4 linked regions of the Elephas maximus indicus genome follow. The protein of the gene in region 2 purifies or fractionates together with the protein of the main gene of each other region. This does not show direct contact. Links are inferred from orthologs where the notes say so. Each region holds a gene or a part of one and is shown on either strand. Other genes may lie near its edges. The genes, in order: MORF4L1, histone H2A.Z, ACTR6 and SMARCB1.

What was found.
Region 1: the proteins of histone H2A.Z (region 2) and MORF4L1 purify together in Homo sapiens (affinity purification with mass spectrometry; 4 studies listed by BioGRID and IntAct, with this or other methods). This does not show direct contact. The link is inferred for Elephas maximus indicus from reciprocal best matches to the Homo sapiens genes H2AZ1 and MORF4L1.
Region 3: the proteins of histone H2A.Z (region 2) and ACTR6 purify together in Homo sapiens (affinity purification with mass spectrometry; 4 studies listed by BioGRID and IntAct, with this or other methods). This does not show direct contact. The link is inferred for Elephas maximus indicus from reciprocal best matches to the Homo sapiens genes H2AZ1 and ACTR6.
Region 4: the proteins of histone H2A.Z (region 2) and SMARCB1 purify together in Homo sapiens (affinity purification with mass spectrometry; 3 studies listed by BioGRID and IntAct, with this or other methods). This does not show direct contact. The link is inferred for Elephas maximus indicus from reciprocal best matches to the Homo sapiens genes H2AZ1 and SMARCB1.

Annotation. Positions count from the first base shown.
Region 1 is NC_064831.1:68,715,167-68,722,949, forward strand, and holds the start of MORF4L1 (mortality factor 4-like protein 1), read left to right. Parts: upstream 1-4,778; 5' UTR 4,779-4,838; coding exon 4,839-4,878; intron 4,879-7,783. UniProt on the Homo sapiens protein: Component of the NuA4 histone acetyltransferase (HAT) complex which is involved in transcriptional activation of select genes principally by acetylation of nucleosomal histones H4 and H2A.
Region 2 is NC_064823.1:53,184,894-53,191,667, forward strand, and holds histone H2A.Z, read left to right. Parts: upstream 1-4,049; 5' UTR 4,050-4,183; coding exon 4,184-4,186; intron 4,187-4,595; coding exon 4,596-4,673; intron 4,674-4,961; coding exon 4,962-5,075; intron 5,076-5,418; coding exon 5,419-5,548; intron 5,549-5,815; coding exon 5,816-5,877; 3' UTR 5,878-6,261; downstream 6,262-6,774. UniProt on the Homo sapiens protein: Variant histone H2A which replaces conventional H2A in a subset of nucleosomes. Nucleosomes wrap and compact DNA into chromatin, limiting DNA accessibility to the cellular machineries which require DNA as a template.
Region 3 is NC_064822.1:166,283,607-166,291,623, forward strand, and holds the start of ACTR6 (actin-related protein 6), read left to right. Parts: upstream 1-5,007; 5' UTR 5,008-5,067; coding exon 5,068-5,135; intron 5,136-7,036; coding exon 7,037-7,154; intron 7,155-7,647; coding exon 7,648-7,716; intron 7,717-8,017. UniProt on the Homo sapiens protein: Required for formation and/or maintenance of proper nucleolar structure and function. Plays a dual role in the regulation of ribosomal DNA (rDNA) transcription.
Region 4 is NC_064840.1:22,469,651-22,476,730, forward strand, and holds the start of SMARCB1 (SWI/SNF-related matrix-associated actin-dependent regulator of chromatin subfamily B member 1), read left to right. Parts: upstream 1-4,074; 5' UTR 4,075-4,261; coding exon 4,262-4,354; intron 4,355-7,080.

The sequences.
Region 1 (7,783 bases), on a different chromosome or scaffold from region 2:
GCTCAAAACATTAGGTAACCCTGGTCTTCCCCATATAAAACCCTCCCATCGATGCTTTAGGGTAGACAGAATTTGGGAGAAATTTAACCCCCTCTGTCTCTTAAATACCAGTATTCAATAAAGCTCTCTTGCTGCTTACCTCCTCCTGTCTCAGTATTGGCTTTGCCACAGGCGGCTGGAACCCACAATTTGCGGTAACAATATCCCAAGACTTCATGCTCAATTAATTTATAAAGGAAACATTTTAAGGACGTGTGCAAATTTCTTGTGGTCCGGTTTATTCAACAAATAAATGGCAAGAAAAAGAGACAGAGAATCAAATGAAATGTGTGGACCTTGTTTGGAACCTGATTTGAACAGCCAGTCTTAAAAATCATGTATGCGGCAATTGGGGGGATCTGAATACTGACTGGATATTTGAAGATATTAAGAAATTGTTTATTTTTATATGTAATAATGGTATTGCCTTAAAAATGTTCTTATTTTTTAGAGATACATACTAAATTATTAATGGATGAAATAGACATGATCTCTGGGATTTGTGTGTATTTATATTTTGGGAGGAAGAATGGGGGAGTACCAATGAGATAAGACTGGCCATGTGTTGATAATTGTAGAAGCTGAGTGAAGGATACACCAGGGTTCATTTATACTATCCCTTCTACTTTTGTTTATGTTGAAAAACTTCCATGAAATGAAATACCATTTGATAATGCAAAAACAAAGTGTCTTAAACGACTTAAACCAGTCATCAAACTTAGCATCACTAATAATTGGACAACTAGATATTATGTGCCTTCTTATGTTGACAGCATAATGTATCATCTATAGTGGAGCCCTGGTGGTACAGTGGTTAAGTGTTCAGCTCCTCTCCCAAAGGTTAGCAGTTCCAATCCACCAGCCGCTCTTTGGAAACCCGATGGGGCAGTTCTACTCTGTCCTGTAAGGTCACTGTGAGCTGGAATTGACTTGAAGGCAATAGATTTGGTTTTACACAATATTCAGTCAACAAAACATTCAACTTGAATCTAATCAAGCCTTTAGATCTAACTTTCGGTTTATAGGAAATACAATGGAGAGAGGTTATGTAACATCATGAGTAAATGATCAGACAAATCCAGAATGTCAGCTAGTCAAAACGCCAATGTCACGAACAGTTATTAATGCTACTACTAATAAAGTGAGGGGGAGCACTTTTTGTGCCAAGGACCCTGCTTAGGAGTCTGATGAAGCCAATGAACTCTTATTCAGAATAGTGTTTTTTAAATACACACAATAAAAACAGGATTTATAAAGAAAATTATATTGAAATATGATTATCAAAAATATTTTAAAATGTGATATGGTGGTATGGTAATATATATGCTTAATTATTAATGCATTAAATAACAAGAACTAGCGGGAAGTCTAGTAGCTACTTACTAGTTTTTAGTTATTTCAAATTAGTGATAAACGTAAAATACATTTGAGATATCTGCAATAACCGTAACATACTATGAAAACATCTATAATTTCTATTGGTGACAAAGCCACAGGTCCTGCTAATACTGCTGTAGTTTGGTACCTTTATTTAGAATGAAAAATTAGATTTTGGTGAAAATAAAGAGGTGAATTTTTTCCCATCTAAGTTCATGGACCTTCTGTATTATATCCATGGACTCCCAGGTTAAGAACCTCTGGTCTAGGTTTTAAAAGATTAAAGAGGTCTGTAATGTACTATCATTTAATGGTTCTTGTTTTGGAAAAAACAAGCAAACAAATATAAAAATATTTTGTGGACAATTAAGGAAATCTGAATACGGAGTGAGTTACATGATTTCAGAGAATTATTGTTAATTTTATTTGGTGTGGTAACAGTATTGTGGTAATTAGGAGAACGAATGCCTTTATATTTTGGAAACGCATACTGAAGAAGTCAGGCATGAAGGGGCATGATGTCTTCACATACACACACACAGCGCACACACATATAGGAAGATGTTTACAATTCCTTTATGTTGAATCGAGATGGTAGATACTGTATTATTCCTTTTACTCTTCTGTGTGTTTGGAATTTTCATAATAAAAAGTAAAAAAAAAAGTGACTTTACGATCTTTTTATTGAGATATAATGTAGATATGGTCAAGTGTATTCACTGTAAGCGTATAGGTTGATGAATTTTTACAGAGGTAAACACCCGTGTAAGCATACTAGCTCAAGATCTAGAACATTTCCAGCACCCCAGAGTTCCCTAGTACCCCTTTCCCAATCAACCTCCCCTTCCACCCCAGTTAATCACTGTCCTAATTTCTATCAGCACTGATAAAGAATATACTCTTTTGTGTCTGGTTTCATTTGCACAACATGACTTCTTGATATATTAAAACAAATTTTTAGAGATTGATAATACCACATTTGGCAAGGATATGGGAAAACAGGCTCTGTCTTAAATTGCTGGTTGAAATGTAAATTGGTGAAGCGTTTCATAAGGCTGTTTAAAATACTCACATCCTTTGACCTAGTAATTTTACATCTAACCCTTTGCCCTTAAGTCGATTCCGGCTAGGGGTCCTAAAACAATAAAAGCAATGTACATGAAGATACAGACTCAAAGGCATAAGTTTCTAATAGTCAAAAATTGGAAGCAACATAAATGTCCAGTAACGGAAATGAGGTTAGATAAATTATTGTATATTTACACTATGTGTCATGGATTGAATTGTGTACCCCCCAAAAATATGTGTAAACTTGGTTTAGGCCATAATTCCCAGTATCGTGTGGTTGTCTTCCATTTTGTGATTGTAATTTTATGTTAAGGGGATTAGGGTGGGATTGTAACACCACCCTTACTCAGGTCATCTCCGTGGTCCAGTGTAAAGGCAGTTTCCCTGAAGTGTGGCCTGCACCTTTTACCTCTCAAGAGATGAAAGGAAAGGGAAGCAAGCAGAGAGCTGGGGACTTCATACCACCAAGAGAGCAGCACCGGGAGCAGAGCGCATACTTTGGACATGGGGTCCCTGCGCCTGAGAAGCTCCTTGACCAGGAGAAGATAGATGACAAGGACTTTCCTCCAGAGCCGACTGAGAGAGAAAGCCTTCCCCTGGAGCCAATGCCCTGAATATGGACTTGTAACCTACTAGAGTGTGAGAAAATTAATTTCTTTGTTAAAGCCATCCACTTGTGGTATTTCTGTTATGGCAGCACTAGATGACTAGCACACTGGACTGGAACCCTTGGTGGTGTAGAGGTCAAGAGCTGCTGCTGCTGACCAAAAGGTCTGCAATTCGAATCCACCAGGCGCTCCTGGGAAATCCTACGGGGCAGTTCTACTCTGTCCTATAGGGTTGTACAGGGTGGCTATGAATCGGAATCGACTGGACCGCAACGCGTTTGGTTTTGGGGTTGGTTTATACTATATGTCATGAGGTATTAAAGGTGTGAGATACAGCTATATATATAATTGGAATGACCTCAGGCCATACTATTAATTTAAAAAAGAAGACGACCCAGAACAATATGTGTAGTCCACTTATGGTAAAAGAAAAAAAAAAAAAATTGGGGCTGAGAAAGATGTATACACCAAATAGTGGGGAAGCAAACTGGGGAAAGTAAAAGGGGCTCCTTAAATTTTGTGCTGTATTCTGTATTTCTGAATTCTTACATCGTGTACAAAAGCCATGAAAACAAGGATTTGTATAAGGCCTCTAGATAAGCTGGGAACTGTGTGTGGAAGGAAATTAATCTCCAGACTAAGGATTTTGGGATATATCCTCGAGTTAATGTTTAATGAGCGCTTATTCACTGTTTTTTTTGGGTGTGTGTGTGTTTTGTGTTATTCACTGTTAGGCACGCCGCTAAGCCTTTACGTGCAATTCTCATAATAAATCGGTTGAAAAGATGCTATTATCATTCCCATCTTGTAGCTGAGCAAACTAGGTACTGGGGAACGACATGGGGAAATCCGTTTGTTTAGACTCTGTGTATTTTGAATAAGACTTGCTCAAAGCAATTAGGTGACAACAAATGGCACAGATGATAGGGCAGGTGCAGAACCCCGAATTTGGCGGTGTTTGGTATTACTCACTTTAGAGTTTTTTGGCGGGCACAAATCCATTGATCTCAAAAAGCCAAAGGTCGATCCCCTAGTCTGCCTAGTGTTTCCCACTTCATCTTCTTCCTCATTGCCACAGGAACAGGGCTGGAGAAGAGGGGGCCTGGCTATCAGCTCCACCGAATATACCATCAGTGATCTTCCAGACGCATACCCTATTTCCCACCCCCTTCCCGCCAGAGCCCGTAAAGCTTTCCTACTACTCTGGAAAAGCTACTGAAAGTGAGTTTCAGGGGCAAGGCTACTGCAACGCCCACATCATTGCAGCCTCATTTTGCCCATGGGATTTAGCCTTTCCCATTCTTTTACTGTTGGTGGTCCCCAGCAACAACACACAAAATCAAATCCAGGCTTTAAGAACTCCGGATGGGCCAGGGGATGGAGAATGAGAGGCGGGAGGTAAGGAACGGGTGGTGGGGAATAAGAAGCGGGGGATGGGGAAGGGAAGAAAGAGACACCCGCCCCTCCCCCCACTCCGTCGCGACTCAACTGACTTGGAACTACCAATCCCGGCGTGCCCCGGGACGGCGCCGGCGCAGGAGCGCGTGCGCGGCGGGCAGCCGTTGGCTGAAGCTGCGGCTGCGCTGGTCGCGGTGCTGTGAGGTCTGCGGGCGCTGGCAAATCGGGCCCAGGATGTAGAGTTGGCGGTGCCTGACGGCGCGTCTGAGGCGGAGTTGGGTGGGGTAGAGAGTAGGGGGCGGTAGTCGGGGGTGGTGGGAGAAGGAGGAGGCGGCGAATCACTTATAAATGGCGCCGAAGCAAGACCCGAAGCCTAAATTCCAGGAGGGTGAGTCCGTTTTTTTGGGGAGAGTGCATCTAACGGCTCGGGAGAGGGAGGCGGGCTTGGGATGGTTGAGGTTTGGGGGTCGGGGGCGGTACGGGCTGCCCCCCGAGAAGGCGTCAGGCAGTGCTTTGTGCAGGCAGAGCGCATTGCGGAGGACAATTTTCGTGCGTCATTGGGGAAAAAACGCTCTGTGAGACGAGTGGGAGAGGGAACGCTTTGCGCGTGGCAGAACCTTAGTCAAATGTTTGTTATTGTTCTGAGGAAGAGCGCGGGGAAAGCAGCCTATTGTAGGGAGGCGACGGATGCGCCATGGCGGCCGTTAGGGGAAGTGATGTGGCGTGGGGGGAGGGGAGTTAACGGCGGTCGTTTTCGGGCGCTTTCGCGGGGATGCCGGCTGCGTGGGCGGCCAACGGCAGGCAGGCCGGGCTGCTTCGAGCCCCGAGGTGGTCGCCTTCTGTGGCGACTCAGAGGTGCGGCAGGGGGGTGGGTTTGGTGCCTCGGGGCGGGAGAGCCGCGTTGTAAAATGGCCGCTGCAAAATGGCCGCCCCATCATGGCCGCCGGCGTCTCGGCCGGGCCCGCAGAAGCTGCTTAAGGGCAGCTGCAGCGCCCCCATCCACGACAACCATAAGCGTTCCCTACCGCTTACCTCAGCGAGGTGGGTGGGGACAAAAAAAAAAAAAAAAAATAGCTTTTTCCTCTGCTTTGTGTTGCCTGAAGGCATCACTTTGCTTTCCTAAGACTGGAGTGCCAAGATTGTATATGAGTGTGAGTGTGCGCTGTTGCTGTGCAGTTGCTCGTTAACACAAAATGACTTTAATGCGGTGTTACTGATGTTTCCATTTATAATAAGTCTCGTTGCCTTGGTGTCGTTTTTAAAGCAGCAGGTATTTGACTAATTGCAATAACTTTTGATTAACAGTGATTGGGAAGTTGGATTTTTTTTTTTTTTTTTATCAATTGGCTTTTGATGGACAAGTGTTTTGGCTGGCGTTAGAACCTGATCTCCAGTGGTAGACAGCTCTTTAATTTTCACAAACAACACATCTACCCCAAACCAAGTATATAGTATTTTTAAGGACTGTTTAAGTTTCCAAGGGTACTTTTGATGAATATTGCTACCTTTTCCCATCTTGAGAAGCTAGCTCTACCGTACCTCTTACGGATTTATTATCTTACTAGGTGCTTTAGAGCAAAAATGCTTAATCTAGGTTCAGTTTATGGAATTCAGAGGGTCCGTGAACGCGGACGGGGGAAAAAATCTTTTTTTTTTTTCTACCTTCTAACTAAAACACTTAGTATTTCAATTATGAATGTAGACCCCCTGAAAACAAAATACCGATAGTAGTATTAGCAGTAATATGACTTTGTTACCAATAAAAATCTCAGATATTTTCATATCCTAACATTACAGTTCTGGAAGATATCTTTAGACATCATGTATGCTCCCCATTACTTCAAAATTATGGTAATTACTGGATCAACAGCTAAATTTTGTTTATTGCATTAAGGAGCACATATAATACCACAGAACATAATATTTAAAATATTTGGTAACTATTTCAGTATAGTTGGTTTCCTTTGTAATACTTTGTTCTATGCGTTTAAAAACTTCCTAAGCCTGTGAGGGGCCTGTTGTAGGATATGGAAAGAGGAAAACGATTGAGGTCTGGCAGTCAACGATGGCTTTCTGGAGGAAATGCTTTAGTTCTAAGCTTGAGAGATGGTGGAGTGAAGTGGATAACAGCAAATAATGTGTGTATTGCTATAGTGGTGGATTGGAGGAGAGTAGGAACCAAGGTTAGGACAGGTAAGGTTTTGAAAGTTAGGCCGGTTGTCTCTGCACTTACCGTCCATTACTTTTCCAGGTGTGTTTTCTACTGAAGTCAATACTGAATCATAGAATCATCTTTAAGAAGTTATACTTATTTATGAAACATGTTTAGAGGGTTTTGAAAAGAATATTAATGCTAACAATTACCTTGAAACAGTGGAAAAGTTCAGTTTATGAAGTAAAAAATAGGGATATGAATTATGAAAGTGTGGAAATAGCCTTTTTAATTGCTTTTCATGATTCTTGAAGGTTTCTCGTTTAATAAAGATACAGAGTATGTTATGTAAGCAATTTCTGAGCACAGTGACTACTTTGCACTGGACTTGGTCTTCCACTTGAATGTCTATTAAAGCACAGGGTAAAGGAAACTTAGGGGTCCAGCCCATTGTCAGGGGTTAAGAGACTGGCAGATGATGGCATGAGAGCAGTGTTCTTAGGAAGCACAAACCAGTAGGAGGATGGGGAATTGGAAGCTCATCAAGCTTGAACTCGAGCATTGGGTAGAATTTCCCTTGTAATTTGATGCTTGAAAGGATGAGGAAAAAGATGGAGCAGAGGAAGGCATAAGAAATCACATCCGAATGGTGTTTTGCTCTTTACTCAATTACTAATCTGTTGCCATGAAAAACAGCCATTTGTCATCATGTGTCATACTCCCTAGCAGCTCTGTATTTTGTTCTCAGCAGAAATACAGGACTAGGTAGGAGGTCATAAGACCTTAGCCTTAGTGTGATTATTTTTGGCAGCAGCAGCAGCCAAAACAACAAAAAACCCTGTGATAGACCCATTTTCAGAACACCTTTAGAGTGCATCTGAAGAGAGAAATTAGGAAGCAGATCTGATCTCTGGTGCTGCTGCTTATTAGCACTATAGCTAATCTGTATCCCCACGTTAAATTGCCCACAGTACTCAGTGATGATTCCAGCCCAGCTCTCCTTGGCTTCGCACATGTGCACCTGTTCATGAGATATTTCCATTTTGGAGGTGCTGTAGGCACTGTTACATAGTCCAAAGTTGATCCGAACCCTGCAGCACCCATTTCATGTTCTGGTTAATGCTCCCACTAGCCTGAGAGT
Region 2 (6,774 bases):
AGAGAAAAAATTTTTGTTAAAGCCATCCACTTGTGGTATTTCTGTTATAGCAGCACTAGATGACTAAGACACCTGGCATGTAATACAATTGAGTGTGCTCTATTTTACCTAAGAGGTTGACAGGACCAACTTGGAATGTATCATGTGTATTCCATTATTTGGCAGGGGTTATGTATGATGTGTGGTATTGCGTTCCATCTCAGTTGCGTATATACAGATAAAAGAAGACAATACAATAATAAAAATGTGTTAGGAGTCCCTGGGTGGTACAAACAGTTAAGTGCTCAACTCCCAGCCTGAAGGTTGGTGGTCAAACCCACCCAAAATTACCTTGGGAGACAGGCCTGGCAATCTGCTTCCAAAGGTCACAGCCTTGAAATCCCTAGGAAGCAGTTCTACTCAGTACACGTGTGGTTACTGTGAGTTGGAATCGACTGGACAGCCACTAACGACAACAACAAATGTCTACAGCAATCTTCTTGCCATTGTGTTAGAAACTTGTGGTGGTGGAGGCTTCATGCTGCCTGTGGATTTACAATTCAGCTGAGGAGATCAGTTACAAAATATAGGAAATATAAATATATATGAAATTTTATTTGGGAAAACGATTATTAACACATAAAGATACTTGATTCTTAACATTAAAACAACCATCAAATTTCCTTCAAAATTTCTGAGATATGTTGGTTATTGAAAAAATTAATTTTAAAATAATAACTTTAAGTAATTTAAAATATTAAATTTAAATATAAAACTATTAAAACTAAATAATTATTAAAAATTAATATTTTTAAAATAACAAGATTACTTTAAAATTAATAATTGGAAACCAGGTATTGACAACTGAGTTTTTTAAGGCATGTTCTTTCCTGAATGCCCTATGTAGAGAGAACCAAGATTCTGACGCTAAGTTCCTGTTATCTACTGAGACTACTAGCCTTTGAAATAACAGAAAAATAGGTGTTTAAAACAAGATGTATTTGAAAAATTTGAGATTCTCAAGTGTGGGACTATCAAATTTTCTACATAAAAAGTCAAGAGAAACAACAGTTAAAGTACATGCTAGTGTTTGAGAGGAAATAATAATTGGTCTTAGAGTTAGGAAACGGCTATTAAGGAAAGAGTCAATAATACCAGGAATATCTACTTCATTTCAGTTTATTTTTAATGACTAGAGGGCATTTATTAAGTAGCTAAGTTGACATGACATTAAATAAAAAAAATTGCATGTGACATTAAATAAAAAGAATGGCCATACATAAACAGTAGCGTGAAGACAAGAACAAGAAAGAAAAGCCAAGAATATTAATGTATCTGCAACTTGCCTTTTCCAGGATGGAGCTCTGGTGGCGCAGTGGTTTAGAGCTTGGCTGCTAACCAGAAGGACAGCAGTTCGAATCTACTATCTGCTCCTTGGAAACCCTATGGGGCAGTTCTACCCTGTCCTGTAGGGTCGCTATGGGGTCACTACTCCATGGCAACGGGGTTTTTTTTTTTTTTTTTACCCCAGGACAGGAGAGTAGAAAATCATCACGTAAGTGCTCTGAAAAGTTGAGAAACTGTAACTGTCCTGTTCACCTTAACAAAAACCCATTGCCGTGGAGTTAATTCCGACTCATAACACTTTGGGCAGGTTTCAAGCTTGATGGTTCTGTACCCAAGGAAGACAGTATACTAGACAGGAAAAAAGATTTAGGAATTAAAAATTCTTTAAATATTGATTTCACTTCTCCCCGGCATCCAATGTAGAAGATATTTATTGAGTACTGCTTCTTCCAGTTGTTGTGTGCCAAACACATGCTATAGTTTATATACCTTCTTCCTTAATCTTTCAACCAAAACCAAATCAAACCCTTTGCCAACAACTTGATTCTGATCACAGTGACCCTACAGGGCAGAGGAGAACTGCCCCATAGGGCTTCCAAGGAGCGGATGGTGGATTCCAACTGGCTACCAAGCTTTTAATCACTGCACCACCAGGGCTGCAATCTTCCAACTGCTACTACTACTACTACCCACTGCCGTCGAGTCGATTCCGACTCATAGTGACCCTATAGAACGGAGTAGAACTGCCCCATAAGAGTTTCCAAGGAGCACCCGGCAGATTCAAACTGCCAACCTCTTGGTTAGCAGCCATAGCACTTAACCACTATGCCACCAGGGTTTCCAATCTTCCAACAACCACCTGAAAACAGGTGTTACTATACTCTTCACGGAAGAGGAAGTCAAGGCTGCAAAAGATTAGCAATAGGATCAAACAGTGAGGTAGAGACAGAGCAGAATTCAGGTTACCTGCTCCTCAGCTCATTCTCGTTTAACCACTATTCGGTGAGGCAACAGTAAATTCCTTTACCTGGTCTTGTAACAGAGATCACATGTTTGTATTCTCTAACCTGGAGAGGGTACTAATGCTGGTTTGTGGGTTATATTTCACAAATCCTCAGTGGAGCTTAGATTATCTGTTATGCCAGGTTTCTTAGCTTTTAATTGCCCTTATATCAATTCATTGGGGGGTGATTAACTCTTGCTTATTGGTTACATCATAAGAACACGTCAGTTCCAAACAGGAGAAATAATAAAACGGCCCTCCGGAAACCCTGGTGGCGTAGTGGTTAAGTGCTACGGCTGCTAAGCAAAAGGTTGGCAGTTTGAATCGCCAGGCGCTCTTTGGAAGCTCTATAGGGCAGTTCTACTCTGTCACTATGAGTCAGAATGAACTCCACCGCAGTGGTTTTTTTTTTTTTTTTTTTGGTGTCAAAATTGTCGGGAACCGCTTCTCCAGAATTCTTCTTTCAAATTGAAACCGAATCGAAAGTACTTTAGCTTATATATCTCAAATCTTTATTTACATCAGAACTATTCAATTATGTTAAAAAGTGCAATATGCTATTAAACAGTGTAAGTATTGAAGATTTATATCATTACTATCCCAAGCAGCTGGAGATGTACACAGGTGTTATTAATCTATTAGTTGGAAGGCTAAGTAGCTGGCATTATGATAGGACTGTGGGTACAGTACTATATTTTAAGCCTACCATTTGCAATTGATTACATGGACCATCTGTAACTGCCTGTGAATCATGTTCGAGTTACCCTACTGGCATTTACTGAACATTTGTCATGTAGCAAAAATTTTAGTGTAGAAAACTTGACACATAATAATTCCGAGGTTTCAGTAAATCAACTTCAGGCACCAGGCTATTGGTATAACCCACTGATGTGTAGTTTCGAGAACAATACTTCTTGGTTAGAGAATACTGCCTCACCTCAAGCCCCCTGCAAGGTGGACAAGTCTTCTGTGACCAGTAAAGTGACTTTGCTCCACTGTTTGTTCCTCGTCGAACTATCCTGTTTCAAAAGTGGTGAGGAAAGAGGGTGTGGACGACATCGCCGAAAACGTAGTGGGAGCAGCGGGTCGTGATCAGTCGGTGGCTGAAGACTCTTCTAGGACACAGACCGGGCAGCTCTATCAAGTCTTGGGGTCGCGGGTGAGCGGGGCTGACTTCGCGGCTCCCCTCTCTCGAAGCGTTCGCGCTACCTGTCAGACAGGAGGAGACTCCCGGGATGCGGAGGGGTGGGAGAGGAGGGCGCCCAGGGCCCCCGGAGGAAAGCGGGAGAGCCCAGCAGGTCTCTGCGGGTAGGGCACGGTGGGAGGGGGCAGGAGGGAGCGCTAGACCCCGACACGTGGTCTTTCGAGATCCTCAGGGAAACTAGGAGAAGGGGCGCTACTGTGTGCTCCTCCCCAGAGCCTCTCAGCTCCTCCTCCCAGACACGTGACCGCAACCGGCTGGTCTCCTCGCTCTCGCAGGGTAGCTCGCTGTGTTTCTTCCCTCCTGCTGCCGTGCCCTTCTTCTACCCGTTCCTGTCCCTCCGCCCTCCCCCACCTCCCTCCCTAAACTCCAATCGCGGCTCGAAGTGCGAAGCGCCCGCCCCTCCACTATTTCCTTCGCCTGCTCATTGGCTGAGGCCTCAAGGACGCGTCCCGAGGGCGGGTGGCAGCCATTGGTGCGATGAGCAATCGGAGTTCCCGGATGAGGGAACATTCTGCAGTATAAAGGGAGCGGGGAAGGCGGGAGACAGCGCAGTTTGAATCGCGGTGCGACGGAGTAGCTGCCGGGATCTCGCTGGGTGTTTGACTAGCCCTTTCTCTGCCTTGCTTGTTTGAGCTTCAGCAGATTTCGAAATGGTAAACTTAGCAGAGGCGCTCGACGACTTCGTGGGTTTTTGCCGGCGGGAGAAAAACCCGTTACACACGGGGATGGGGGGGGTGAAGTGGCGGCGGTTGAGAACGCGCGGAGACAGGATTTGGAAGAGCGGGGGGAGGTGTTTTGTCGTCGGCGAGCGTAGCCACCTCCGGTCTCGTGGCGGGCGGCGACGGTTGGGTCGCGCGCGCAACGCCCCTGGGGGCGGGCGGGCTGGTGAAGGCGCGCGGCCGCGGCGGCGGGCGGGGTCGCCCCTGCGGCGCGCGGCGGTCCGGAGACCCCAGCGGGGCCGCGCTCGCGCCCGGGCCGCGCCGCGTTGGGGGAGGGGCGCGCCGCCCTGGTAATCCTATATTCTCCGTTCCTCCTCCGCTCGCGGGCGTGTGCGCGCTGCAGGCTGGCGGTAAGGCTGGGAAGGACTCCGGAAAGGCCAAGACAAAGGCGGTTTCCCGCTCGCAGAGAGCCGGCTTGCAGGTCAGTAGTTGTTTGTGCAGCCTTGGAGTCGTGGCGTTTTTCTTTGCCGTCCTTTCTTGTTTATTATCGCTCTTGACTGGCGTTTGGTCTTTTCGTGGGCGACGAGGTGTCGCGACTTGGGTTGTCGATAACGATAAATGTCGGGAAGGGGAGGAGATCACGTGTGTTGATACTGGAGCGTGTTGCTGCACCAGCGTCGCCCATGCTCCTTGCTTTGGCGCGCGTATGATTTTCCTATCTTTGACTTATATGTTTGTGCATTTATGTTTATGTGTGCTTAAAATTAAGTTTCCGGTGGGCCGTATTCATCGACACCTGAAATCTAGGACGACCAGCCATGGACGTGTGGGCGCGACTGCCGCTGTGTACAGCGCAGCCATCCTGGAGTACCTCACCGCAGAGGTAAATGGGTGTACGCCTATAATCTGGAAAAGGCTGGAGCGGGGGGAGGGAGGTGAGAGGGAAGGAGGAAAGTGATGCAAGAAAACTCCCAGGCCCTAAACGCGGCGAGAAGCCTCGAAGAACGCTAGAGGGAGCTGGTGTTCAACAAGGCATCCTATTGAGTTTGAGTTTGCTGCTGCTGTAAATAATTGCGTGTCCCCTTTATAGCTTTTGCATATCTGGCCACTAAGTTGGGGGGGGGGGCAGCGACAATGGGTAGATTTACCCTCATGAAGCCTTGTTTGTGCTCTGGATCTTGGCCTGAGGAAAGTTGGAAGGAGATTAAATAGATTCTGTTGTCTAGGTACTTGAACTGGCAGGAAATGCATCAAAAGACTTAAAGGTGAAGCGTATTACCCCTCGTCACTTGCAACTTGCTATTCGAGGAGATGAAGAATTGGACTCTCTTATCAAGGCTACAATTGCTGGTGGTGGTATGTAACTAGAGAAAAGAATTATTTGCATCTTTAATTTCTGTTACTTTTATAGTCTAAAAGAATACATATATTTTCACTGATGCAGCATGGTTGCAGATTTGTGACGTTTGATTTACGTAAATTAACTCAATGAATTTTTATTTTGCATATTTAAGCTTAATATTTTTTAAAAAACCTTTCAAGTTGAACAATAAGTTACTTGGGTTATATACTATGTGACTTTAAATTTTATATATGTCAAGTTAATCCCTGTCACTCTTCTAGGCGTCATTCCCCACATCCACAAATCTCTGATTGGGAAGAAAGGACAACAGAAGACTGTCTAAAGGATGCCTGGATTCCTTATTATCTCAGGACTCTAAATACTCTAACAGCTGTCCAGTGTTGGTGATTCCAGTGGACTGTATCTCTGTGACAAACACAATTTTGCCTTTTTGTAATTCTATTTGAGCAAGTTGGAAGTTTAATTAGCTTTCCAACCAACCAAATTTCTGCATTCGAGTCTTAACCATATTTAAGTGTTACTGTGGCTTCAAAGAAGCTATTGATTCTGAAGTAGTGGGTTTTGATTGAGTTGACTGTTTTTAAAAAACTGTTTGGATTTTAATTGTGATGCAGAAGTTATAGTAACAAACATTTGGTTTTGTACAGACATTATTTCCACTCTGGTGGATAAGCTCAATAAAGGTCATATCCCAAACTTAGCTGTGTTTTAAATTTGCTTAACTGTAATAGGAATTTATCTGTTTGAATCCAGCAGTGACTAAACAGGGTTCTTACCTGGGAATTAAACTGTTACTTCTATTGATCAGTGAAGTTAGATGGCCCTAATATGATTTTTGCCCCTGATACTATATAATGAGCTCTTAAAGATTTTAAAGCTTTGGCACGAGTTGCGGTGGGAGAAACTTCCTTTAGGCCAAGGTGTGGCTATACCAGTTTGTACATTTGCTGTGCTTGCTCTGTGTGATGGTATCATACCAGTGTACTATAATACTGGGAGGGAGAGGGCAGGTAGGGTATATATATAACCTGCCTCTGTTAGGTGCCCATTGAGTTGGTTCTGACTCACAGTGACTCTTTGTACAACAGAACAAAACATTGCCCAGCCCTGTGCTGGGCAATCGTTGCTATGTTTGAGCCCATGTTGCAGGCACTGTGTCATTCCATCTCATTGAGGGTCTTCGACTTTTTCAGTGATCCTGTTTTACCAAGCATGATGT
Region 3 (8,017 bases), on a different chromosome or scaffold from region 2:
TCTTAGGAAAAGTATTGAGCCTCTCTGAGCCCTGTGGTGCTATTTACTTTATGAGGTTGTTGTCAGGATTAACTAAATTAATGAAGATAAAGTACTTAGCAGGGTGCCTTACACAGTAGAATCTTGTCATTTGTTGTCATCCAGTCAATTCTAACTCCTGGAGGCCCTATGTGTGCAGAATAAAACTGCTCCATAGAGTTTTCTAGGCTGTGACCTTTCGGAAACAGATCTCCAGAACCGTCTTCTGAGGCGCCTATGGGCAGGTTTGAGCCACCAACCTTTCAGCTAGTAATTGAGCACTTAACTGTTTGTGCCATCCAGGGACTCCATTATAAATTCAGTAGGCAAAAAAGGATGTTTCAGGCAGATGGAACACCATTATGAAAAAGCATAGAAGTGAAAAAGTTTATGACTTCTATAAGTGGCAAGTGGCCTAATGATGTGGTTAGAACAACATGTGGGCCCCTTTTCAATGTAACAAATACCAGTGAAATCCACAAGTAATTCATTGTAGTTATAGTATATTTTTGTTGACAAAATCCATGATAATAGTTTCACTTCTATTCTCCCTGGATTGTTATTCTTAGGTGCCATCAAGTTGGCTCTAAATATCACAAAACCACCATAAATTCAATAGTGCTTTTAAATTAAGTTATTTTTATTGCTATTTAATTAGAATTATAATAAAATACAATTTTCAAAAAGTTAAAAAAGTGTCTGTCATACAAATATATAATGAACAGGCATTAAAGATTTATTTAGCTCATATTACTGTGGGAACCAGCAAGATGAGAACCTACAAAGTGGAAAGCTGTTTCACTCATCAACACGAGTTAAATAAATCTGTGACACATGTTCATTACATATTTACATAAGAGTCATGTTATTAACTCTTAAAATTATGCCTTGACAGAATATACAAGCATTTGAAGAATAATACTTAAATGCTCAAAATTATTTGTGCTAAAACCTGGTGTGAAGGTGAAGAGAGGCACTTTTTACCAAACATTTTGTGTTCCATCCAGCTCACACAAGCTCTTGAGAGACAACTGTGTGCCTCTCTTACCAACTCCATGTTCGGTGACCTTGCAGTACCTTGAAATCAGCCAATGGTGACCGTATTTACTAACTTACAGAAATTAGCGAACATCATAAGTCAGGAGACTTTTTCCTGTGGAGATTTGGTTGTTAAACATTTACCAGCACACTGCTGTAAAGTGAGTGGAAGGGGATAAGATTGTAAATGTAAATATACGGACATTATTTTGTAGGCAATGGCAAGTCACAGAAGATTTTTATGGTGGGTGAGTTGAGGAGGAGGATCAGATTTTTTATTTAGAAAAATATTTACTGATAATTATGCTGGCAGTACAGAGGATGGATCAGAATAAGTAGAGAATGGAGGTGCAAAGAATGTTGGGAAGGCACCGCCATTATTTCAGGTGAGAGATAAGGAAATATTAGTAAGAATATAAGAAGATCAAGGACAGATTCCAGAGATTAAGTCAAGAATAGGAGTTGAAGGAAACTGAGGTTTCTAGCTTAGGGCATAGGAGGTACTCACTTGTCTATGCCAAGAAATTTTGAAGATAGCTACCTGGCCAACTGACTGGAAGAGATCCATATTTATGCCTATTTCAAAGAAAGGTGATCCAACTGAATGAGGGAATTATTGAATAATATATGCAAGTAAAATATTGTTGAAGATCATTCAAAAGTGGCTGCAGCAGTACATCGACAGGGAACTACCAGAAATTCAAGCCAGATTCAGAAGAGGACCTGGAACAAGGGGTATCATTGCTGATATCAGACGGGTTCTGGCTGAAAGCAGAGAACACCAGAAAGATGTTGACCTGTGTTATTGACTATGCAAAGGCATTTAACTGCATGGATCATAACAAATTATGGATAACACTGTGAAGAATGGGAATTCCAGAATGCTTAATTGTGCTCATGATTTACCTGTATGTACACCAAGAGGCAGTCGTTGGAACAGATTAAGGGGTACTGTATAGAGTTGCTATGACTGGGAATCAACTTGATGGCACTGGGTTTGGCTTTTTGGTTTGGTATAGTTTAAAGCTAGGACAGTTGTAGGTCAGGGCCGTATACTTTCATCATACTTATTCAATCTGTACGCTCAGCAAATAATCCGAGAAACTGGAGTATATGAAGAAGAACGGAGCATCAAGACTGGAGAAAGACTCATGAGTAACCTACATTATGCAGATGACACAACCTTCCTTGCTGAAAGTGAAGAGGACTTGAAACACTGTTGAAGATAAAGTACTACAGTCTTCAATATGGATTACACTTTCACATAAGAAAAACAAAAATCCTCACAACTGGACCAATAAGCAACATCATGATAAATGAAGAAAAGACTGAAGTTGTCACGGACCTCATTTACTTGAACCCACAATCAATGACCATGGAAGCAGCAGTCAAGAAACCAAATGACATATTGCATTAGGCAAATCTGCTGCAAAAGATCTCTTTTAAGTATTAAAAAGCAAAATGTCAGTTTAAGAACTAAGGTTCACCTGACCCGAGCCATGGTGTTTTCAATTGCCTCATACGCATGTGAAAGCTGAACAATGAATAAGGAAGACTGAAGAAGAACTGATGGCTTTGAATTACGGTGTTGGTGAAGAATATTGAATACACCATGGACTGCCAAAAGAACGAACAAAGCTGCCTTGGAGAAGTACAGCCAGAATGCTCCTTAGTGGCAAGGATGGCGAGCCTTCGTCTCACATATTTTGGACTTGTTATCAGGAAGGACCAGTCCCTGGAGAAATACATCATGCTTGGTAAAGTAGAACGTCAGTGAAAGAGAGGAATATCCTCAACAAAATGGACTGAAACAGTGGCTGCAACAATAGGCTCAAGCATAACAGTGATTATGAGGATGGGGCAGGGCTGGGCAGTGTTTCGTTCTGTCGTACCTAGGGTTGCTATGAGTAAGAACCGACTTGATAGCACCAAACAACAACAGCTTAGAGTACTAGGTGGATGAGACACCACCAATTGATATAAGGGGAATAAGCAGTTTTGGAGATAAGATTTGTTGCATTTAAACTTTCTTCAAGATATACTGGTGGAGACATTCAGGTTACAGTTGGTAGTGGAAATTCTGGTTTAGGATTTATTAGTATTTAATGATAGCTGAAGCCAGAGCCAAGAATGATCTTTATGAAGGAGTATGTAAGCAGGCGAGGAAAAGAAAATGAGAAGCCTAACTGAGAAACAGCTAATTAGGAGAGACACAGGATTGAAAGAGCACATTTTGAAAGGTGAGAGAGAAATGAAATGGTAGCTGCTCTATAAGGTAAGTTTGATAAAATAGTCTTTACGTGTTTGGAGTAAGTCATCTTACCACTTTAACATTAGATTAAATAGAGTAAATTTGGACACAGTTAACTTTGGACATTCAACGAACTTTTGAATAGGAAGGGATATACCAAACCAAATCCATTGCTTCCAGTGGATTCTGACTCAGTGACCCTATAGAACTGATTAGAACAATCCCACCGGGTTTCCAAGGCTGTAATCTTTACGGAAGCAGACTACCACATCTGTCTCCCATGGAGCAACTCATGGGTTTGAACTGCCAACCTTCTGGTTGCAGATGAGGGCTTTAACCACTGTACCACCAGGGCTCCTACAAAGGGATACGTATACACACCAATAAAATATTATGCCTGATCCCAAGGAGTTTGCCATCTAAGCAAGTTAACAGAGGATGATCATATGGTAAGGGACGATGATGATGATATAACTGCCAGGTACTTGAATTTGTCATTTACTCTTCATAAAACAATTGTGTAAGGGAATATTATTAATATTATTCCATTTTACTGATGAGGAAACTAAGGCATAGAGAGGTTAACTAACGTGCTAGGATTTGACCCAAGAATTTGACTTCAGAGGCTGCACTCTTAACCACGACCTCTTTGATTTCAATGATAGTACCTGCCTCATGGGGAGAAAGAACTGGATATCTGCTACTGCAAAGATTACATCCTAGAAAACCCTATGGGGCAGTTCTATTCTGCCCTATAGGGTCGCTATGAGTTGGAATCAACTCCGAGGCACCTAACAACAACCTACCTCATAGAGATGTTGAAAATATAAAGCCTTTAGAAGCTTAAAAAAAAATTTTTTTAGAAGAGCGCACCTGCAAGCAGTAAATGTTGTCTAAGTATTAACCATTATCATCATCATCACCCAAGGTTACACAGCCATTTTGTGGCAGAGTCTGGATGTGAAGCCCAAACTGATCCTCTTAACCGTTATGATATACAGGGGTTAGCCCGGACTATTACAGCAGCACGTAGGAAAACCAAAAAACCCACTGTCGTGGAGTCATTCCCACTCATACCGATCCCATAGGACGGGAGCCTAATTCCAGGAAGGGGAACGAGGAGGGAGAGTGTCAAATGTCTAGAAGCCTTCTTAGATGAGAAAGACGCGTGAACTCTGTCCTGAAGAGCAAGTAGGCATAGTCCAGGAAAGAGGTGAGTGGAAGTGCAAGTGTGAGGAAGAAAGCAAGACGGGTTTACAGAACAGCACATGTATGATTCACAGTGGGTGGATCTTTCAGTTGCACAGGGAGTGGAAGGGGATGAGAATGGAGAGATCTCATACACAGTTTCACAGTGCGTATGGTTTTGCACTCTATTCCTCAAGAATGTTACTGTCTGAACAATACTATTTGAAGACAAAAAAAAAAAAAAGCTGTCTACAAGGGTTACAAGAAACTTGCATGAGTAAGTCGATCTGCGAAGTAAAGGACAAATACGCAATGGGCGAAAGGCACTTAGCCGTTTCCAATCTTGTCAGATCTCCCCACCACTCTAAACAAGTTAGGCTTAGAAGCATAGTATGACACTCGCGGACACAGTCCTCCGCGTCCAGTCTCTGGCTTCCGGCGTCCTCCGTTGTTAAGGAGACCGGAAACACGTCCTAACGTCCCGCCCAAGCAAACCACAGAGAGCCGGAAGAAGAGTGAACAGAAGGGTCGGGAAGGGAAAGCCGTAGCAGTGGGTGTGTGCTTGTGCTAAAATGACAACCTTGGTGCTGGATAACGGAGCCTACAACGCCAAAATCGGTTACAGTCGTGAAAATGTCTCGTAAGTGTTTACGTAGTTTCACACGCCAGGCTTTATCTTAGGACATCGGTGAACTGCAGGCGCCCCTGCGCGGCCCTAACCTGAGCCAAAGGGATACTGGGCTTGGAGGTGTGGGGGTAGGGATGCTTTGAACTGGAATTGATTTTGCTTTTAACTTTGGGCTGTGCTGCCCCGGAAGAAGGATGTGTGTTTCCGTTCGTAACAGGAAATAGCCTACCTAACAGTCTTCTAGAGAAGCTTTTATTGACAGCAAACGAAAAAAACCAAAGCCGTTGCCGTTGAGTCGATTCCGACTCAGCGACCATATAGGACAGAGTAGGACTGCTTCATAGAGCTTCCAAGGAGGGCTGGTGGATTTGAACGGCTGACCTTTTGGTTAGCAGCCAAGGCCTTAACCACTGCGCCACCAAGACTCCTTTCTTGACAGAGTGATCTGTAAACAAAGTTCATGAATCCTCGGGAATTGTGGGCCGCATATTGGATGTGTAGGCATTCTCCTGGAGACGCGATTATAGCTTTCACCAGATCGTCAAACGGATCCGTGGCCCAGAAAAGTCTAAAACCATTTTCTTAATGTCTAGAGACCTTGAAGATTCTGTATTTAGTCCCTCTGGACACTTGGAAAAACACCCTCTCCTTTGCTTCTTTTATTTATTTATTTTTTGTATTTCAAACGAAGTTTTACAGAGCAAACTAGCTTCTCATTAAAAAATACACATATCGTTTGGGACTTTGGTTGCCAACCCCACGACATGTCAACACTCTCTCTTCTCGGCCTTGTGTTCCCCGTTACCAGCTTCCATGTCCCTTCCTGCCTCCTTGTCTTTGCCTGCTCCTGGGCTGGTGTGCCCATTTGGACTCGTTTTGTGTTATGGGACTGTCTAATCTTTGGCTGAAGAGTGAACCTCAGAAGTGACTTCATTCCTGAGCTAAAAGGATGTTCGGGGTCTTTTCTTTTTTAAGGAGGCAGTCCAACTGTTTAGGAATGTAGATTGGTACAGTCTCTCTGGAAAATATTTTGGCGATGTGTATCATTGTTTGTATCCTATGATGTGGCAATTCTGTTTCTTGTCAGTTACGTAAGGAGTTAATTACAGGTGCTTGATGAAAATAACTAGAAGGATGTTATATATTCTTTATAGATGTTGCGTATGGTAGCAAATTAATAAAAAAGGGGAGGGGGAGGGAAGCAAGCTAAGTAATCAAGAATAACAAGTTGGTTAAATTATACAGCCCTAAGATTGAATACAATGCAACTTCTTAAAATATTCTGCTCAAAGAATTCTTAAACATACAGAGAAAATGCTGACAGTGTAGTAGGTGAAATAAGTAGGTACAAAACATTTTTACAGTATTATCCCAGTGTTCTCATCTATGTGTATGTGTGTGATTGATAATGGCTGTAGTTTATCTTCCTTAACCAGACTGTAAGCTCATGGTGAGCAGAAGTCATTTAAAACTACTTACTTCTGTACCTTGTGGCATCTTGCATACTGAAAAACGTTGGTTTCATGGAAATAATTTTATGGCCAGAATTTTGAACTTGCGATTCTTTTACCCGAGTGGTTGAAAGGATTTCCACATGAAAGCCGGAAAGACCAGCACCTTTACCTGGATCCTGGTTCCCAGCTATGCAGTGGTGGAATCAGTAACCAACAACCAACCATTCAAGGCGATTCCAATACCCGCCTGTAAAGATTTCTTGAGGATTACTTTGCGAAAGACCAAGGGTCTGGCACAGAGCCTGATACATACTAGAACCTTAAAAAAAAGGGGGGGATTTTTTTTTATTTGAAGACAGAATGAGAAACACAGATTTCCAGTGTATTAATTTTGGCATCAGTAAATGTATTTTGGGGAATAAGTGTTTTGGGAATAATTCTGTTGTTTTTTGTTTATAGGGTTATTCCTAATTGTCAGTTTAGGTCAAAAACAGCACGTCTCAAAACCTTTACTGCTAACCAGATAGATGAAATTAAAGACCCTTCTGGACTCTTTTACATCCTTCCTTTTCAGAAGGTAATCCAGTTATGTGTCATTTCTAGCACTGTAGATCTCAATTTATGAGACTTAGTAAGTATGTATGGGAACATTTTTAGATCTCTAAGAAAAGGTGATTTAAATTTTAACTAAGATCTTGTTAAAACCAAAAAGTGAAATTAAATTATCTTGATAAAAACAAATGACCATCATTTAGTTACTGATTCAGGTACTGAATCTTGTTTATTTTAAAAGCCAAATGAGCTGACTGCGTTAATGTAAAAAAATAAGTGTAAAGAGGCATCTGTACATATTGGTCTGTCTTTTGAACCCTTGAAAGTTTGGTATTAATAATTTGTATAATGTTTTTGACCTTTAAAAGGAGAAAAGCATGCCAATATGATTGTTTGTAATTCATACAGCATTAGACTGGAGAAAATAAGCATAAAGAGAAATCAATGATTTGCAATATATTAATCTTTGATTTTTAAAAATTGTTCAGATACTCTTGATGATTTGTAACTTTTTTTAGGGCTACTTGGTAAACTGGGATGTTCAGAGACAAGTTTGGGATTATCTTTTTGGAAAAGAAATGTATCAGGTAACAGACCGGAGTATGTATTCAAACTCTATTTCCATGTCTTATTCAAATGAGAAGTGAGAACTTACGTTTTAAGATTTATAGACTTACAGATTTGTTTCTAGTATATATTTAAATCACTGTAATTTAGTGTAGCTGGCTTTGATTTTCTAAATGTAAGTGAATAGAATTTCTGTTCTAAAGAGGTTGAACAGAGAAAGTCTGTATGCAACTCAGGGTTAAAATCGTACTTCAGATTTCTAATAATTTTATTAGACCAACTCACTATCTCACTTTTATTTTCATGATAAAATATTCTTGA
Region 4 (7,080 bases), on a different chromosome or scaffold from region 2:
GGAGTTCTGCTCCCTGGGATCCAGGCCAAAAGGACCAGAGTGAGCTGGGGAGGGGGAGGTGCTTCCTGCTGGACACCCCTGGCCCTGGAGGCCCCAACATACCTCATTCCTGTCCCAGATGGATGCTCCTACAGCCCTCGTCCAGTGCCATTTCCCTGGGACCCCCAAAGCCCTGTAAATGTGTTGTGTACAGTGTGTACAGAGCCTTTTTTACTGAAGGACTGTCATTAAACACACTCGTTTTCTACCTGCCTGTCTGGTGTCTCTCTGTGGCAGCATGGCTAGGCAGGGAAAGAGTTGGCCTTGGTGCAGGAGGCCTTGCTCCCTCACTGTGAGGCAAGGCTGCAGCCTGCCTGCCCCAAGCCTCTGGTCCCAGGTACTGGGTTTAGTGTTCAGGGCGCCTCCTGTTTATCCTCCATCATGCCTCGCCTGTCAAGTGGACTCCCACCCAAGGTGACACCATGTGTGTCAGAATAGAACTGTTCCATCGGGTTTTAAATGGCTGCTTTTTTGGAGGTAGGTTACCAGGCCTTTCTCTGAGACACTTCTGGGTGGACCTGAACCTCCAAACTTTCACGTTTACTGTTTGCACCACTTGGGGACTCCTGACACCTGTAGTGGCTTTCTAATTGGCTCCCTGCTTCCAAGCTTGCCCCCTCTGTCCTCCACGAAATAGCCATTTTATGAGATCATGCCCCACCTTGCCCCTATTTTAAAATGCTTTGCTTTCCCACTGCTGTCAGGACACAGAACAAGGCTCAGGGGGACCACGGCCCACCCTCCTGACTCTCCAGCATCTCCAGCCCACGCTGCCCAGCCCCACATGTGTCTTCTTCATAGCACTTACCACAGCAGCAAGGCCACTAGGATGGAACCAGATGCTGCTATCAGGCCATTTCAGCCTAGTAGATCGTTCCGAGGGATACAGCCAATACTCTGATGCCACTCAGCAGGGCTGTCTGGTTTCACTCACCTATACCCGCTGGGCTTATTGTAGTCACACACCAGAGTGGAGGCAGGAACAGAGGTGTCCCTCCTATGTACGAAATTTTAAAATTAGGGTGCCTGATACTTCTGAGGGGGGCTGGCTCAGGTTTAAGCCCAACTCCATCTTGTATCTTTTCAGACTCTCGCTTGTCCTGCTTTTTTCCTTAGCAACAGTTAAACTTTGTGTAGGCTACTGAAATACCAAATGTTTTTCTCAAACTATAATTAACCTTTAGAAGCAACTTGTCTAGTTTCACATAATTGTATTTAGGTAATCAGGCTTATTAAAATACTTGAAATTTGTCCTCTCAGGAAACGAGATTAATGAACATGTTTCCAAGACTCCAGGAGTCTTCTAGTCATGGCTCTCTGATCTTGCAACTGTCTTAGCCACATTTTGATTTTTCTGTTTTTTATAAAGTTTGAGTACATACTGCCTTCTTATAAGCCAGAGCTAGGCTACCAGTGTCAAAAGTACACGTGAAACTAGGGGGAGGGAGCTAACAAACCCCATTGGGTAAAATGTTCTCCAAAGAACTTTCCCTTAAGCAAGTTAATCTTTACCACCTGTTCTCAAAACAAAACCCACATCTAGCCTTTGAACAAATCAGAAAAGTTTCCCCATTTCCAGATATCCCACCCTCAACTGTTTTACCTCACTAAGCATCAATCGGAAACCCTGGTGGTGTAGTGGTTAAGTGCTACAGTTGCTAACCAACCAATTCGGCAGTTCGAATCCACCAGGCGCTCCTTGGAAACTATGGGGCAGTTCTACTCTGTCCTATAGGGTCACTATGAGTCGGAATCGACTCAACCGCAATGGGTTTTTTTAAGCACCAATCAGAGTATTATGTTGCTAGTTCCTGGTTTAACAATATAAATATTGCATGGATGCCTGTAACTCTTCGAGGCTTTAGATTTCACTCTGTGAAATCTAATGTTTCCCCAGTTTAAAATGTATCCCCCCCCGCGCCGTATCTGTCAGTTTGTCATACTGTGGGGGCTCACGTGTTGCTGTGATGCTGGTAGCTCTGCCACTGGTATTCAAATACCAGCAGGGTCATCCATGGTGGACAGGTTTCAGCTGAGCTTCCAAACTAAGACAAACTAGGAAGTTCGGCGATCTACTTCTGAAAAAAATTAGCCAGTAAAAACCTTATGTATAGCAGTGGAATATTGTCTGATATAGGGTCAGAAGATGAGCCCACAGGTTAGAAGGCACTCAAAATACGACTGCGGAAGAGCTGCCTCCTCAAAGTAGAGTCAGCCTTAATGACAAGGATAGAGTCAAGCTTCTAGGGCCTTCACTCAGTGATGTGACATGACTCAGTGAGAAGAAACAGCTGTAAACACCCATTAATAATTGGAATGTGGAATGTATGAAGTATGAATCTACAAAAATTGGAAGTCATCAAAAATGAAATGGAACACATAAACATTGATATCCGAGGCATTAGTGAGCTGAAATGGACTGGTACTGGCCATTTTGAATTGGTCTACTGTGCCAAGAATGACGAATTGAAGAGGAATGGAGTTGCATTCATCATCAAAAGAACATTTCAAGATCCTGGAGTACAACGCTGTTTAAAGTCAGGAAAGGTGTGCGTCAGGGTTGTATCCTTTCACCATACTTATTCAATCTGTATGCTGAGCAAATAATCCAAGAAGCTGGAGTATATGAAGAAGAACGTGGCATCAGGACTGGAGGAAGGCTCATTAACAACCTTCGACACGCAGGTAACACAACCCTGCTGAAAGTGAAGAGGACATGAAGCACTGATGATCAAAGACCACAGCCTTCAGTATGGATTGCACCTCAACCTAAAGAAAACAATCATCCTCACAACTGTACCAACAAGCAACGTCATGATAAAGAGAAGAAAGACTAAAGTTTTAAAGGATTTCATTTTACTTGGATCCACAATCAACACCCATGGAAGCAGCAGTCAAGAAATGTAAGGATGCATTCCATTGGGCAAATCTGCTGCAAAAGACCTCTTTAAAGTGTTAAAAAGTAAAGATGTCACTTTAAGGACTAAGGTGAGCCTGACCCAAGCCATGGTGTTTTCAATTGCCTCATATGCATGTGAAAGCTGGACAGTGAATAAGGAAGGCCGGAAGCATCAATGCCTTTGAATTATGGTGTTGGCGAAGAATATTGCATATACCACGGACTGCCAAAAAGAACAAGCAAATCTATCCTGGAAGAAGTACAGTCAGAATGCTCCTTAGAAGCAAGGATGGCAAGTCTTAGTCTCACATACTTGGACATGTTATCAGGAGGGATCTGTCCCTGCAGAAGAACATCATGCTTGTTAAAGTGGAGGGTCATCGAAAAAGAAGAAGGTTCTCAACAAGACAGACTGACCCAGCGGCTGCAACAACGCACTTAAGCATAACGATGATGTATGGTGCACGACCAGGCAGTGTTTTGTTCTTTTGTACATCGGGTTGCTATGAGTCAGCACTGACTCCACCACACCGAGCAACAACAAAACTGTACCTTGCCTTTAATAAACCTCTTTACTTTTACATTAACAGTATGTACAGTTTTTACTCTTTGACACTCCCCTCCCACACTCATCTGATACACCAGCCAAACCAAATGCAGCTACATTCAGGCCCCTAGGCCTTTGCTCATGCCAATCCCCACTTCACTGTTGTCATTTTACCCACCCCCACAGCCGCAGAACCAGTTGGGTGTGGACCTGGCACATTTGTTTTCATGAACCCTCTTAGTTGCTCGGCAGCACTGTACTTCAGGGTGGGGAAACTGAGGCTGGCCTAGATTCAAAAAGTACTGCCAGGTTTCCAGATATAGTCCTTTCCTCCTCCTGGCCTTCAGGTCCCCCTTCATTCCTCCTCCACTGGGCAGAGTTCCAGTCCTTCCTGTGAGACTTGGAAGCCACCGCCTGAGTCAGGCCCTCAGCTGCTATTTTCTGTCGGCTAGAAGCTTTTCAATGCACCAGGACTTTGGGAGGCAACCAGAAGAAAAACGGGTCACGGTTCCTTTAAGGAGCCGGAGGGGAGCGCGCCCCGATCTTTTGTCTGGGCGGTGGCGCGCGCGTCTGCGTCAACGCCCGCGCATGCGCATGGAGAGCGGCCTAGGCGGCGACGGAGGCTGACAAGTCCACAGCGACGCGAGCACCAAATCTGGCCCAGCCTTCGCCTCCCGGCCTCGGTTCTCCGCGGCGCGGCGCGGCTAGTCCCGGCCCCGCCTCAGCCCTCCCGACCTTTCGCAGCCCGGCCCCGGCCGCCCGCTTCCGCCGCCGCAATGATGATGATGGCGCTGAGCAAGACCTTCGGGCAGAAGCCCGTCAAGTTCCAGCTGGAGGACGACGGCGAGTTCTACATGATCGGCTCCGAGGTACCCGCGGCGCGTCCTCGCCCCACCCCGCCCCGCAGGAGGCCCGGGGCGGGTCTGCGCGCGGGGGGCGGCCGTCTCCATTCATCGCGACGGGCGCGCGCGCGTGGCCGGGGCGAGGCCTTTCGGGGGTGTGGTCTGCCCAGGCTCCGCCCCGGGCTCTCGGCGTTCTGGGTTGGCGTTCGGTTTCCGCGTGGTCCGGGGCTCACCCCGCGTCATGGCTTAGGTCCTGCGAGGTGCCAGGGGACCGCCTAAGCTGGTCCAGCGCCAGCAAAGACGCAAATAAAAGGGGTGTTGTGGGTTGTTTTTTGTGGCTAGTCCCTGCGGTGCATGAAGGGGTCACAATGTTGCCCTTAAGTCTTTTGAGATGTTGACAATCTCATGTGCACCCCGCCCCCATTGTTCCGTCTAAGATCCTGAAATCGCGGGTTGGAAACCTGGGGCTTAGTGAGGGCTCCTGCCGGTTTGTGTTCGTTGCCGCGGAGGTGGGCCAAACCTACTGCCGTCAGTCGATTCCGACTCATAGCGACTCTGTAGGAGGGACATCTCTCAGCACTTCCGAAGCAATTGACGTTTTGGAGATTTGTGAACGGACTGACCTGAATTATTAAGGGGAGAAGGTTCTGTTCTTTAATCCTCAATTCGAAGCGACAGTACTGTGAGCCAGCTGGCGAACTGGCTTTAGGAAAATCCTACAACCGCCCCATCTAACGGGGGTTTGTACTACGTTAAGTTTTGCCAAATTGCCTCGTATTAGTCTTTTCTCACCTAAAGTCAGTACCCAACTAATATATATTTCTTTTTTTAATTGATGGGTGTAAATAAAGTTTACACGTGCACATGTCACACCGTTGAGTTTCTTATGTGACAAGGTAAGTGCCAATCTTGGAGTGCGAACACAACCACAAAATGCCAAGGGTCTCTTCTCTGTTGTAGCAGGTTTCAGTGTCATACTCCAACATCTCATTCATGCTTTTTTTAAAGTGTCTTTCCTTTTCTTCACCACTGAGCATAGCATGAAAGAATCAAACCTGTGATTGTCACGCTGAGGCTGTCAGGACCCCTCATGACTCCCACCTTGTCTTAGTCTGTGAGGCCGGTGTTGTCGCTTACCTCAGAACTTTAATGTTTCACCAGTTTTTATAAAACAGGAGAGCGGGATGCAATAAATTCTTCATGTTATCACATAAGTGCTGCTGTTCAAAGAAGGCTTAGCTGCGGACATGTTGCCAATTTCTGTCCATCTTCCCCTGCTCAGAAGGGGCCTCACCAGCTGGTCGGCACCCACCTACATTCAGGGCTCAAAAAGGAGTTTCCGAATGTGCCGTGGTGCAAGCTGTTTAAGGATAAATCTTTACCTGACCTAATGGTAAATTAGAGGGTTAGCTTTTCGCTTACCCTCTACGAGATGGAGTGGCACAGTAGCTGCAACGATGGGCTCAAGCATAACGATTATGAGGATGGCGCAGGACCAGGCAGTGTTTCGTTCTGTTGTACATAGGGTTGCTATGAGTCAGAACTGACTTGACAGCACCTAATAACAACAATGCCCTTGACTTGGAGTGGGTGGTCCTCTTGAGAAGAAAGCTTCCCATGATTCGGTGGCGTAAAGTAATTGGGAAGAAGCAGCAGCCAGGTGGGAAGACCATTGGAGGCCTAGTTCCAGCCTCCTCCGCCTACATCATTTTTGTCACCTATATAGTGAGCATGGTCTCGAAGACCTTCCATGTGACACACTTTAGGTTTCTCGAAAGCTAACAGCAGCCTTTTCTTTCAGCCTGTTTGCTCCTGGCCCAGCTTGTTGAGTGAGAGTGATTTCATGAGGGTCCCTTTGTGCCTGGTCCAGTCTGTAGAGCCCCAAGTGGGAGAGGCCTACACCTGTTCTTTTGGGCCAGGCTTAACAAGCATCAGCCATTTGGCATTCAAGGGAGGATTCAAGAGCAGAATGCTATCTGTGGATACTCAGTAGCTCTGGTGACTGTTGGATAGATGGCCCTTGGACCCCTTGCCCTTGGAAACAGACTCTGTGTTCAGAGAGGCAGGCCAGCCATGGTCACATCCCACCCCACCCCCAACGCCCTGTGCGGTACCCCGTGGAGCTGCCTTGGGTGGCATCTGCAGTTGCTGTGAGTGCGTGTCCTTATTCTCCCGCCATCTACAGGCAGCTATAGTCACCAGGCCAGGTCACAAAGCTGAGAGGACCCTGAGAAATCACTAAGCCTAGTACCTTCATTTGACATTTGGGACACCTGGGTTCATAGAGGGCCAGGGCTGATTCAGGGAAAACCCAGGAGGACAGTCGCCTGAAGGGGTCTTGGGAGGGGCTGAGGAGTCCCAGAGTCCCGAGGGACCTCCAGGGTAGTAATGGGGGACACTGTGGTCAGTTTCTTTTCAAAAACCTCATGGGAATTCTGTGCTTACCCTTGGGTGGCACCAGCACACACAGGCCAGGAGGTTCAGTGGTTGGCATCTGTGCTTTCTATCTGAAGCAGGAGGGGCTCATGCTACACAGAGACTCTGGTTGATGCTTATACACATCTTTACTCGTGAAATGTGGAGAAACTCGTTTTCACTTAATAAATATACTATGCTGGGTGGGTAAAGTGGGAAAAGTCATAGCAGTGATCTTTTGTGGGACTGAGTTCAACGGTGCTGAAAATTTGACCGAGGAGTCGAGGGACCCAGAAAGGGAAAGCAATCAGGGTCTCCAAGGAAGCCAGCACCTGGCC